Ovis aries: one gene and its partner. The protein of the gene in region 2 binds, or shares a complex with, the protein of the main gene of each other region. Links are inferred from orthologs where the notes say so. Each region holds a gene or a part of one and is shown on either strand. Other genes may lie near its edges.

Evidence for each region. Proteins that work in one complex are often made in the same cells at the same time.
Region 1: UPF3B (region 2) and MAGOH share a complex: the UniProt entries of both Homo sapiens proteins name them as parts of the mRNA splicing-dependent exon junction complex. The link is inferred for Ovis aries from reciprocal best matches to the Homo sapiens genes UPF3B and MAGOH.

What each region holds. Positions count from the first base shown.
Region 1 is NC_056054.1:27,765,935-27,772,234, forward strand, and holds the end of MAGOH (protein mago nashi homolog), read right to left. Parts: intron 6,067-6,300; coding exon 5,956-6,066; intron 3,740-5,955; coding exon 3,657-3,739; intron 2,561-3,656; coding exon 2,461-2,560; 3' UTR 2,320-2,460; downstream 1-2,319. UniProt on the Homo sapiens protein: Required for pre-mRNA splicing as component of the spliceosome. Plays a redundant role with MAGOHB as core component of the exon junction complex (EJC) and in the nonsense-mediated decay (NMD) pathway.
Region 2 is NC_056080.1:114,665,886-114,672,610, reverse strand, and holds the start of UPF3B (regulator of nonsense transcripts 3B), read right to left. Parts: upstream 3,456-6,725; 5' UTR 3,356-3,455; coding exon 3,200-3,355; intron 2,443-3,199; exon of another isoform or gene 2,393-2,442; intron 2,339-2,392; coding exon 2,232-2,338; intron 2,070-2,231; coding exon 1,963-2,069; intron 1-1,962. UniProt on the Homo sapiens protein: Involved in nonsense-mediated decay (NMD) of mRNAs containing premature stop codons by associating with the nuclear exon junction complex (EJC) and serving as link between the EJC core and NMD machinery.

The sequences.
Region 1 (6,300 bases), on a different chromosome or scaffold from region 2:
GCCGTCTTGTGGAGGTAGTCTGAGACCGCAATTAGCCGGGGTTCAGACCCGCGGAAGGCCCCCTCCAGCAATCGGTAATTAGATATTTACTGAACGGCAAGTCAGTTTGAGGGACGTCGCACCAAACAAGACAGTTCTGCCCGAAACCTCTGCCGGGTCCTCACTATTCTGCCTTCCTTCACCCAACCTTGCCCCGGCTCTCCCTGCCTGCCCGCCGATGCATCTTAGATCACGTCAGTTCACGCTGCCCAGGGCCGGCTTCGCAGATTTGGGAGACGATTTTCTTTAAACTGCTCGTACCTCTTTACCCAGGGGACCTTTCGGAGGGTTGTCTCGTGTGCATGTCCTGCCGGTGGTCCGCAAGACTGGGCACTCCCCTTCAGCTTACTCTTCTCTGGGTTCCCGGTTTGCTCTAGCATACATTCACTCAACCTGTGCTTTTGTCCAGGGCTCCTCTGAGACCATACAGGAGCTGTAAGCATTACAAAGAACAGCCTGTTTGAGGCTTTTATAGCCTCCTGAGGTCTAGACTGTTTAAAATTTGGAGCGACTCTTTTGATGTCTACTTTGCCACAAACTTACCTGATTGCCGCCAGGTACCCTTCAATAGCAGAGGGTGCACTGCAGACAGAACCCCTACATCTCAGGTCCCAGATCGGCAGCTAACTTGCTGCCCTTTTTCCATTCCCCCCCCCGCCCCCCGTGATCTTTGGAGGAGGCAAAGTAGGGTGTGTGTGTGTGTGTATCTTTGGGACCCTGTGATCTTTTTTTCTCCCCGGTATTTATTTTTGGCTGTGCTGGGTCTTCATTGCTGCAGATGGGCTTTCTCTAGTTGCAGCAAACAGAAGCTAGTCTCTAGGACTCATTAGTTGTTGGCACATGCGCTTAGTTGCTCCGCAACATGTAGAAATCTTCCCAGATCAGAGATTTAACTCATGTCCCCTGCGGTGCCAGGTGCTAGACCACCAGGGAAGTCCTGGGACCCTGTGATCTTTGAAGGAGGCAAAGTAGGGGCATGTGTGTGTGTGTGAAGGAGGCAAAGTAGGGTGTGTGTATGAAGGAGGCAGAGTAGGGTGTGTGTGTCTGTGATCTTTGGAGTCAAAGTAGGGCATGTGTTGGGGAAACACTTGCTCAGGACTATTTGGGACCTGTCCCAAGTTGGCCACTGGAGAAATGTTGAGCTTAGCTTTATCACCTCCCCTCAATCAAATGAGATTTAGCAAGACGGTGCCCACTATCTGTTTAGTCAGCAGTTTGCCTAAGGAAGCCATGCAACCTAGTAGCAAGAAAAATTTCCTGCAGATCTACCTGCTGAACAAATCCCACTATCTATACCAACTAGGTGCTTCTTAAATGGCTGTTAGAATTCTGACTTTAAAATGAATTATTGGAAAGATTTTGAGACTAGCCACTTTAGAATATATTAAACCAAGTATACATCCCCATAGTGAAAGTTTCAGATGTATCTTTAAAAGTGATTTTTAAAACTCCAACTTCCAGCTTCCCTGGTGGCTCAGTGGTAAAGAATCCACCTGCTAATGCAGGAGACATGGGTTTGAACCCTGGTCTGGGGATCCAACATGCTGCAGAGCAACTAGGCCCATGCACCACCACTACTGAGCCTGTGCTCTAGAGCCCAGAAATCACAACTACTGAGCCCATGTGCCACAACTGCTAAGCCTGTGCCCTAGAGTTCATTCTCCACAAGAAAAACCAGCACAGTGAGAAGCCCAGCGATACAAGAGTAGCCCCTGCTCTCCACAACTACAGAAAAGCCCGAGCAGCAACGAAGACTAGCACAGCCAAAAATAAAAATAAGTGAAAAAACCAAAAAACCCTCCAACCTCAATTATACCTCAGTAAAGCTAGATGAAAAAAATCAAAATATCAACCATACCACTTTACTCCCTAAAAAATTAACATTTCATTAATACCAAATATGGAGTATTTAAATTTTCCTACTGATGGCAACTTTACATTTCCTGAATCATGATCCAAGCAGGGTTCGAACATTGTATTGATTATGTGATTATATGTCTCTCAAATCTTCTTTAACATTCCCACTCCATCTCCATTTATGTTTGCAGCTTATTTTTTTTTTAAGAAATCAGATCACTTATCCTGGAGTTTCCTCTGGTTACTGATTGGATTTCCAGTTATTTTTTAGCATGTTTCTCTAATCTTTTACTTCCTATAAACTGGTAGTTATATGTACAGAGTTGATTAGATTTTTGGCAATACTTCACATAAGAACCTAGTGTTAAAAAGTAATTTGAGACAAGTTCACATGTTCAGGTCTTTATAAAATTTAAAAAAAAATTGCTTTTTGTTATGTATTTATTAAAGACAATCATTTATAGTTTATAAAAAAAATACTGCCCTGATATACACAAAAATGTCTAGATAATGGTAATTAAAAGCAGCACTCCCACCCCCCTTGTGTCCACACCAATGTTCCATCTAGATTGGCTTAATCTTGAAGTGTAATCCAATAAGACTGAAGACCAAACACTTCAGGTCCTGGACAAGATAATAAAATACTCGTAAGCCTTCTGGATCCCTGTAATGCAAGAGGAAAAAGATGTTAAAAAAGCTGAAAAAACTCAGCAAAAATTACCATTTAATAACCCAGATTACTTACGTACCAGGATATTCCTCGTAAGAAGTATTTACAGAATTAAAACTTTGAAAACAACCAAATGTCCAAAAAGAAGAAAAATTCTATATACATTAAAATGGAATATTAAGAAGTAATTTAAAACATTAAGGTTTTTAAAGAAGGAAATGCTTATATTAAGTAGAAAAAAATCATGATTAAAGTAAGAGACTGTTGATCTCAATTCATTTTTTGTGCTTTAAAAGACTTTTTTAAAGCACAGGAAAAACACAGAAATACTTTAATATTAATGGTTATCTAACTGATAATTTTATGGGTGATTTTCACCTTTCTACATTTCTGTATTTCCTATATTTTCTACAGTAAGCACATATTACTTTCAGAATTAGGAAAACTTCCTTTTTAAGAGGTAGTGCTAAGCAGGACCAAGAGACTCACTCAACCTTACTATAGCATAAGTGGGTAAGAACAGGAGACTGTTCATAGGAAGACAACTATGCCCAACATGTACTGAAAGTGAACTATATCTAATCCCAAATCCTCAAAACACAAGAGACAAAGAGGCTGCCAAATTCTAATGATTCTGTGTATAGTGTATTCATGTCTCAATAATTTACCCTCGCAAAAACTAATTTTAAAATTTATATTCTAAATGATTTCAAGTTTCACTAAAGTCAGGCTTTAAGATGTGCAATCTGAATAACCAACACTGAGGAAGGTACCCAGACTCACTGATTTCATAGGTATTTCCAGCAGTTGCTTTTTGTTTTGGCCAGACTCTCCCACTTTGGCTGCCCCTATGGCATTACTCTGTGGGTGCATCACTGAGAAGCGCTCACTGACGACGACTGACTAAAACACCAAAAGCAAACAGAGCAAGCCCTTGAAGATAATCTGGGAGTCTCTCTATTGATGGGGACAAAGCTGGCCAGTTCTTAGATTTGTACCAGATTATTATCTTACCATAAGAGTCTCAATTTGATTATGGGTTTCATATCAGCATGCTCGAAAACAGACTATAAGGATCATGTGTACTTACTTGGATTGATTGACATCAATAAGGGAACCAATTTTTGATGTTGTGAAAGAAATGTGTTCGTCTCCAATGACAATTTCAAGCTCCTAGAAACATTGAAAGAAATATCAATCCGAATTGGTTTTCATCACACAAGAGAAGGGTTCATCATCTTCCAAATCACATGAACTCTAATACAGATGGCCACATTACCAAGACCAACCTGAGCCCTAGACTGTACTGGGTACTAGAAACAGATAAATGGTATGACCTAAATACTGGTTTAGTGCTTGAATAGCTTATACTTAGTTGTGTCTGTGAGGCTCCACATTTGGAAGAATTTACATTTGTGTTTCATATAGGAGTTTTCATTGTTAACAAGGTGGAGTAACATGTATAAATCTGTTTTACAAATACAAGAATCTAACATTTAAGGGCAACATTGGACAAGGAAAGGAATTCCAGACCTTGAGTTAATCCCAGCTTTTTCACTTACTAGTTGTATGCCCTTGGGCCTGAATTTCTAAAGAATGAAAGAAGTACCACAATCTTAAAAAGAAAAAAAAAATCTATTGGGCGGGGAATTGGGGGGGGTCTATGGGACAGATCAGCAAAACCAAAGATTTCTGCCCTTGTGGAACTTACAACCTATTGAGCTCTACTTCTTTTTAAAAAATAGTTATTTAATTTATTTGGCTGTGCTGGTCTTCATGCAGGATCTTTAGTTGAGGCATGTGGGATCTAGGTCCCTGAGCAGAGACCGAACCCGGGGCCCCCTGAATTGGGAGCATGGAGTGTTAGCCACTGGACCACAGGGGAAGTCCCCTGAGTTCTACTTCTTAACATTCAGACTTGAAATGTTAATATTTTGTACTTGTGTCAGTTTTTCAAGACAAATATTATAGTTTAGACCCACCTCCCACTCTATTCTCCTGCCTGCCCAGAAGTTGGAATGTATTTCCACTCATGGTTTTAGATTACATTGCAGTTTTTTGTTTTTAGCCACAGGGCATGGCTTGTGGGATCTCGGTAGTGAAAACGCCAAGTTCTAACCACTGATCACCAGGGAATCTCCATATTGAGTTAAAATTGGTTTGTTACATAAGTACAATATTCTATTTCTACTTCTGTATTATACTGGGCTAACCACCAAAAATTTAAGTTTCTGTCACCATACAGTTGATTCCCTTTACAAATTTTGTACACTCAGCCCCTTCCCTCTAATAACCACAACTCTGTTTTTTGTATCTATGTGGTTCCAGTTGGTTTGTTAATTTATTTTGGTTTTTGTTTATTTTCAACAAAGTTTTTATATGTAGATCAAGTTCATTATTTTTAGATGCTTGAGAATATTCATCATCACGCATAAGGGAAACCAAACAAGACAATTTCAGACAATGATGAATGCTATGAAGACAAAAGCCAGATCTTATTTAAGTGATAAGAAAAGGCATTTTAAATTAGATAGGCTCTTAAGACATCAGTGAAGAAGTGACATTTGAAGACCTCAATAATACAGACAGTCTCAGATAGAATGTTCCAGGCAATATGTAGCAGACACAAAGGTTCTAAACTGAAGAAGCACCTAGGTGAATCTGAGTAACAGAAATAAGACCAATGAGATTTAAATCCAGTGAGAGATGGCGAAAATGGTAGAAGGTAAGCTGGGAGTTCGGATTTTATTTTAAATGCAGTGGGAAGCCAGAGTTTAATATCAGTGGAATATATAAACAAATCTACATTTTAAAAGATTACTGTCACTCCAGGAAAGAAAAAATGGGCTCTACAGGACAAAAGAAGACACAGTGAAATCAATTAGAAGTTGGAAGGCAGCATTAAAGTAGAAAGAAGAATCTTTCCTATTAATTTGGTCAAATATGACAGTGGCTTTTATTTTTTAATTACCACAATGCTTGCAGAATAAATATCTAAGCCAGAAATTTACAGATAGACTTAGTTGCTGGCATGACTTTCCATTACATTGTTGACATGACTATGTTTTATTTATCTTGCTATCTTCACAGTGTTTTGTCCATAGTGGTTACTCAGTAAGAAACGTGGGTAGCAAATACTCTCAAGAAGCGGGAGGTGGACCAGAAGAAGAAATTCAGGGCTGGGCTCCAGGTGGTCCGCAGCTCCACCTGCTGTCCCTGGTCCTCCGTGTGGGCTTCGTGCCGCCTTAGACCAAGGTGCCAGTGACCTGCTCGGTGCAGGGCTCCAGAACACGCACACATACTGAGTACATTCAGTGTCATATGCAGAGCAGGAAGCTTTATCTTATTTGTAAGATTTCTGCACTGTGGGTAGCTGCTAAAACACTCACCTGCCGGCCCACTCGGTCAGGAGGAGGCCACAAAGCATCATCCTCTTTGGTAATTTCACTGTCATCAATTATTCTTTTCAGTTCCTCCATCACACTTTTATGTACATAAGCCTGAAAACAAGTTAAAAAACAGAATTTAAATTGTATCTCTAAGCAGCGTTCTGACTCAGATAGTGATGAAAGATTAAAAAAAAAAAAAAAAAGACTAATGAAGATTTATTTCTGGCACCTCTGTAAAAGTGAAGACATTCCAGCTTGACTTCAGCATGCTAAGAGGACGGCAGGGTCAGAAGAGCCCAATGACTACACCTCAATCCCACATCTAGTTGTTTGTTTCTTGGTATA
Region 2 (6,725 bases):
TACAAGATGAAGAAGTTCTAGAGATTAGCTGCAGAACAATGTGAATGTACTCAGCACTACTGAACTGCACACTTAAAAATGGTTAAGATGATAAATTTTATTTATGTGTATTTTACCATAATTTTTAATAATGTCAAAAACCAAAAAAAAGCAATGAGATAATGATACATACTATAACATGGATGAATCTTGAAAACATGCTAAGTAAAAGAGGTAGTCACAAAAGGCCATATATTATATGATTTAGTTCATATGAAATGTTCAGAATAAGGAAATCCATAGTTAGTAGATTAGCCGTTGCCAGGGGCTGGGGGAGAGGAGAATGGTAGATGACTGCTAATGAATACAGGATTCTTTTTGAAGTGATGAAAACATTCTGGAATTACCCAGTGGTGATAGTTATAAACCTCTGTGAATATACTAAAAACCACTGAATTTTATGGTATGAGTTATATCTCAATAATAATTTTTTAAAAACCTAAGTGACTACTGGAAAAATACATCAAATCCTTGCTATAGAATAATGTAATAGAAGGTATAAAATACCATCTTTACACCTTTGGTGTGTAAACATAAGCCAGGATAAATTACTAGAACTGACCATTAGATATCACAAAGCAGTCACAGAGGAAACAAGATTTTAGAAATCCTAGTGAGTGCAGAATCATATTACCTTAATAACTGATATACCTGAAAAGGAATAGATAAACCAGACCGAAGCAAAAGGAAATTGTGGAATATAGGCAAAAAAAAAAAAAATTAGAAGTGAGGCCAAACAATGGGAGATGACTGCTAATGAATACAGGATTCTTTCTGAAGTGATGAAAACATTTTGTCTACCTAAGGAATTTGGACTTTTTTCCCACAACTGCTGTCTTAAGTCACTATCTTCAAAAAGATTATTTTCATGGCAAAGTAAGACTAAATTATACAGAAAATGGAAAATTCTATAAGTTTAGAGAGAGTGGTTGTCTAAGCATTAGGTGATGAGGACATGTGAAAGTATCAGTAAGTCTAACGTCCTCAGTCTAGATGAACAAGATATTAAAAAGCAATAAATTGACAAAATCCATCACTTGTTTAAATGTAAGGGATAAAGAGAGGAAAAAGTTAAACACAACTCAGATTTTCAGGAAACCATTTGCTATCTACTGGAATAAATTTGTGGAGCAGAAAAGTAGCTGGTTTGGGGGGATTAATAAAAACTGGACAAACATAGAGGCAATTCTTCAACTTTTACTGGCATATTCCCTGACAAAGATTTCATTTTTTACCAACTCTGAAGTAATATTGAAAAAATATAATCTAACAAAAACACACATCATTCAATATTGCATAGCCAAAAGAAAAGTAGCAAACTTAGTAGCAAAAGTAGCCAGACTTGGACATTCTCTGGCTAAATGTTGCAAGCAACAAATAATAAAATGAGGGTTAATGCAGAAGTTTTTCTTCCCTATAAACTCCTGGATAGGAAGTGGGAAATCATCAAGCTCAGTGGTTTAATTACATACAACTTAGAATGTTAAACAGTACTCCAACTGGCAACTATTGACATAAAGGATCTGAATTAAATAAGTATTGGTCCTTGAAGCAAGATGAGAAGTAAATATTTAAAACTTGTCATACAAGTTTAAAGAGTCACTTGTCAGTATCACTTAAAACTAGTAAATACTCAAGACAACGGATCACCTAAAACAGGGCAAAAGAACTGTCACAGGAGGAGAAAACAGTGGCAATTTCCTTTGGTTGACAAACTAGAGAAATAATAGGTTAATACAAATACCTGTAAAACCTCATATTATCTATTTATAAGGCTGTCATAAGCTTATCAAATGCATAAAACTCTTTAAATGTTGCTCATCTTATCACTCAGGATTTCAGAAACACTATGAAGGCATCAAGAGAACAGGGATACACTGTCTTAAACAAATGACAAACTCCCCTTCAGTTAAAAGGACTCACCTTTATTGTCAAGGAATACATAACCATCAAAACGATCCCTGAACAAAATAATGTCCTCTTGGTTTTTAAAGTTGATGTATGCTCTTGCATACATATGAGGATACAAACTGCAGGAAGGAAAGCAATTATGTGAATGTGCTTGCAGGTGTCTGGCTGAATTACAAGTATGCATATATTAAAAAGGCTCAAAAATAAAATAGAAATCATGAGTAGGATTAAAAAAAAGAATGGAAGAAACCTTTTTCATTTACCCCTCCCTCTTATTTTACCTAGTATCATTAGAAAAAAACTCAAAATAATCATGCTCAGGCATAGGCTGAAGATGTTCCTGAAGCTGCTCCTTGGTCAAAGTGGGCGGTAATCTCCGAATTACCACCTTAAGAAATGAATAAGGAAAATAAAATTAGTACAAATCAATTTTCTGTCATACCTGAATCACTGTTCCTGAAGAAAGTTGGCCTTTAAAAGATGAGATCACTTCTAAAAACCCAAGAGAATGTTCAGAACGCTCAGAACGATTAGTCAAACGTTAACAGTAACATAGTTTAAAAAAAAAAAAAAAAAAAAACTCTCAGAAACGAGAACTGCCTGGAGCAAGGAAATCTTAGGTTCTGTTAACCCGAAGCCCCACGGTTTACTAGGTTTTCGCCTCATTTTCTGTCACCCATTTTTCAGTAGTGGTAAGAAATTTGTAAACCAACCCTGGTCTTTTGTGGGTGCCAGGAATTCTTGATTGATAAAGTCCTTATTCAGTCAGCATAAAGAATTCAAAATTCTAAGAAATACCCCCAATTCCCTCACTGCTCCCCGAACAGAATGTACCCGATTTGGCCCAAGACCATTAATAGCCGCCACCCACCCATTCCCTCAACTAACCTGTTAATATTCCTATCACGTACTACTCCCGCTGGTGATAGCACCTTTCTGTTTAATAATTCCCCCTCAATTCCTCATCCTTTTCGCTATCGCCCCCCCCTCCCATCATCATCTCACGGCTCTGACCTAAACCCTTCCAGTCAGGGAATCCCCCCGCCCTCCCTCACTCCCATCCCGGAGCTCTGCCGGGAAGGGAACCCCCATTTTGGGAGAGTGGATGAGACAGGGTGATGCGATTTTCACTCAAGTGAAGAAACAGAGGAAGAGATTGGGAGAGGAAGAGGGCAGCCCCATTCCCAACCATCTTTCTCGGGTGGTGGAACCGTCCCGCCCTCTCCTGGGCCAACAGCCGGCCAGACACCTTGCTCAACGCCTCTTTCTTCTCCTTGTTCCGATCCTGCTTATCTTCCCCTTTGGTGCTGTCTCCCGAAGCCCCACCGCCGCTGCCTGTAGCACCTGGAGGAGTCAAGAGGGTTACTCGCTTCTCCTTAGGCCTGTGCTCCTTCTCCTCCTTCATGGCCACAGCTTCGCTCCTCACCGCGGTAGCTCGGCCTAAACGCCGCTACGCCGGGCACCTACGCCTCCCGGCCCGCTCAGGGCAGAGCTCCGCCCCCAACAAGCTCTCCTAGTGATAAGCCGACCCCAACGCTCCATTGGGCCCCGGCAGGATCTCGCGAGACTTCAGGGCATCCGGCTTCCTTCGCTGGAAAGGTTGTAACACCTGGTCTTAGCTTCCCTCCCGCGGAATCCCCGCATCGCCCAATCCCCTCGCGGCCCAGACTCCCTCGGGGCCGCTCATTAGCATATCCGCCATCTTGGTTAGGACGAGTATTTCACGGACTACAAATCCCGGCATTCAAAGCGGTTACCCGCTTCTGGCTGAGTTCTGAAGTCGTAGTATTTCAGGTTCCCTGTTTATAAGTAAATGGAAAGTTTAATCTTGAAAGGTTAATGTTTTTCAGATCGAAAGATACACTCTAAAAAAAAAAAAGAAAGATACACTCTGTGGGCTTCGTTTTCCAGAGATAAAATCGATGTTATCCAAAGTTTACCTCACGAACGACTTGTATTTTCTATTATTGGTTGTAAAGTGAGCTTTCAGAACCTTTAGAATTTCTTTTCCTTATATTTTTTAGGATTCACAGACACTCAATGCACAAAACACTGACATTTAAAGGAGTATTATGACCAAAATGTGTGAGATTTGTTTTCACCGCTCTTTTTAAAAGTTAATAGGAATCTATCATGGTACTGATGCCCTGTAGGTAGGAGAAAATAAAATCCAACTCACTTTAGATAGGATTGACCTCCTTCCAGCTTTTAAAAAGGCCAGTTATGCATTATTTATAATATCTCCAAACTGGAACAACCCAAATGTCTGTCAATCCACTAATGCATAAACAAAATGTGGCACATCCATAGAATGAAATACTGCTGCTGCTGCTGCTAAGTCGCTTCAGTCGTGTCCGACTCTGTGCGACCCCATGGATGGCAGCCCACCAGGCTCCCCCGTCCCTGGGATTCTCCCGGCAAGAACACTGGAGTGGGTTGCCATTTCCTTCTCCAATGCATGAAAGTGAAAAGGGAAAGTGAAGTCACTCAGTGGTGTCTGACTCTTCCTGACCCCATGGACTGCCGCCCACCAGGCTCCTCCGTCCATGGGACTTTCCAGGCAAGAGTACTGGAGTGGGGTGCCATTGCCTTCTCTGGAATGAAATACTACTTAATTACAAATGAACCCATCCATCCATCCACATGAATGAATCTCAAAATGGTCATGCTGAGTGAAAGAAACAGAACACAAAGAGTACATGCTGTATGATCTCATTGATACGAAATTCCAGACAAGGTAAAACTAGTGAGAGAAAATTCTTAAAGAGATAGGAATACCAGACCACCTGACCTGCCTCTTGAGAAATCTGCATGCGGGTCAGGAAGCAACAATTAGAACTGGAATCGAACAACAGACTGGTTCCAAATTGGGAAAGGAGTAGTCAAAGCTGTATATTGTCACCTTGCTTATTTAACTTATATGAAAACTACATCATGAGAAACACTGGGCTGGATGAACCACAAGCTGGAATCAAGATTGCCGGGAGAAATATCAATAACCTCAGATATGCAGATGACACAACCCTTATGCCAGAAAGCAAAGAAAGAGCCTCTTGACTGATGAAAGTGAAAGAAGAGAGTGAAAAAGTTGGCTTAAAACTCAACATTTAGAAAACTAAGATCATGGCATCTGGTCCCATCACTTCATGGTAAATAGATGGGGAAACAATGGAAACAGTGACAGGCTTTATTTTGGGGGGCTCCAAAATCACTGCAGATGGTGACTACAGCCATGAAATTAAAAGACACTTGCTCCTTGGAAGAAAAGCTATGACCAACCTAGACAGCATATTAAAAAGCAGAGACATTACTTTGCCCACAAAGGTCCATCTAGTCAAGGCTATGTTTTTTCCAGTAGGCATGTGTGGATATGAGAGTTGGACTATACAGAAACCTGAGCTCTGAAGAATTGATGCTTTTGAACTGTGGTGTTGGAGAAGACTCTTGAGAGTCCCTTGGACTGCAAGGAGATCCAACCAGTCCATCCTAAAGGAGATCAGTCCTGAATACTCATTGGAAGAACTGATGCTGAAGCTGAAACTCCAATACTTTGGCCACCTGATGTGAAGAACTGACTCACTGGAAAAGACCCTGATGCTGGGAAAGATTGAAGGTGGGAGGAGACAGGGACGGCAGAGGATGAGATGGTTGGATGGTATTACCGACTCAATGGACATGAGTTTGAGTAAACTCTGGGAGTTGGTGATGGACAGGGAGGCCTGGTGTGCTGCAGTTCATGAGGTCGCAAAGAGTGGGACACGACTGACCAACTGAACTGAACTGAGTGAGAGAAGGGCTTCCCAGGTGGCGCTAGTGGTAAAGAACCCATCTGCCAATGCAGGAGATTGAAGAGATGGGGTTCAGTCCCGGGAAGATCCTCTGGAGGAGGACATGGCAACCCACTCCAGTATTCTTGCCTGGAGAATTCCTTGTACAGAGGAGCCTGGCAGGCTACAGTCCATGGGGTTTCAGAGTCCTGACTCGACCGAAGCCATTTTAGCATGCACACAAGCAGATCAGTGATAGCCAGGGGCAGGGTTGGGGAGAAGGGAGGGACTGCAGAGGGGCTTCAGGAAACATTTCGGAATAATAAAAAATATATTTTTTTATCATGACTGTGGTGGTGGTTGCATTTGTGTAAACTCATTGAATTGTACACAAAATTGCCAAATGTTATTTTATGTAAATTATTTTTCGAAGATCAGCCCCTGAAATGAAAAGAAATGCAAAATTTGAAAAATGTTGCTCTGCAAAAGTCCCAGAAGGCTCCTTAGGAGAACGGAATGGAAGACCCATGTGTCTCCTCCCAACCCAAGAAAAAGAAATCTTTTTGCATGGAGGAGCTAGTTAGTAGTGATCTTGAAGAGACAGCTGATGGTGGAAGTTGTTCCAAGAGGAAGAACTCTTTCCCCAAAGAGGAAGCAGTTAGTGACCCTGAGGAGTCAGGAAAGAAGAGAGTCCCCAAGATAAAGAGGAAATTCTCTTTCAAGGAGGAGCCACTCAACCATGGACCTGCTGCTCAGCAAGAGCAGCAGCTCCAAGAAAAAGCTCCAAAAAGCTATTGCAGGAAGATTATTAATAGAATGGTGAGGAATAATTTGCAGACCCCTATATCCCAATAACGGAGAAGGCAATGGCACCCCACTCCAGTACTCCTGCCTGGAAAATCCCATGGATGAAGGAGCCTGGTAGGCTGCAGTCCATGGGGTCGAGAAGAGTCAGACATGACTGAGTGACTTCACTTTCCCTTTTCACTTTCATGCATTGGAGAAGGA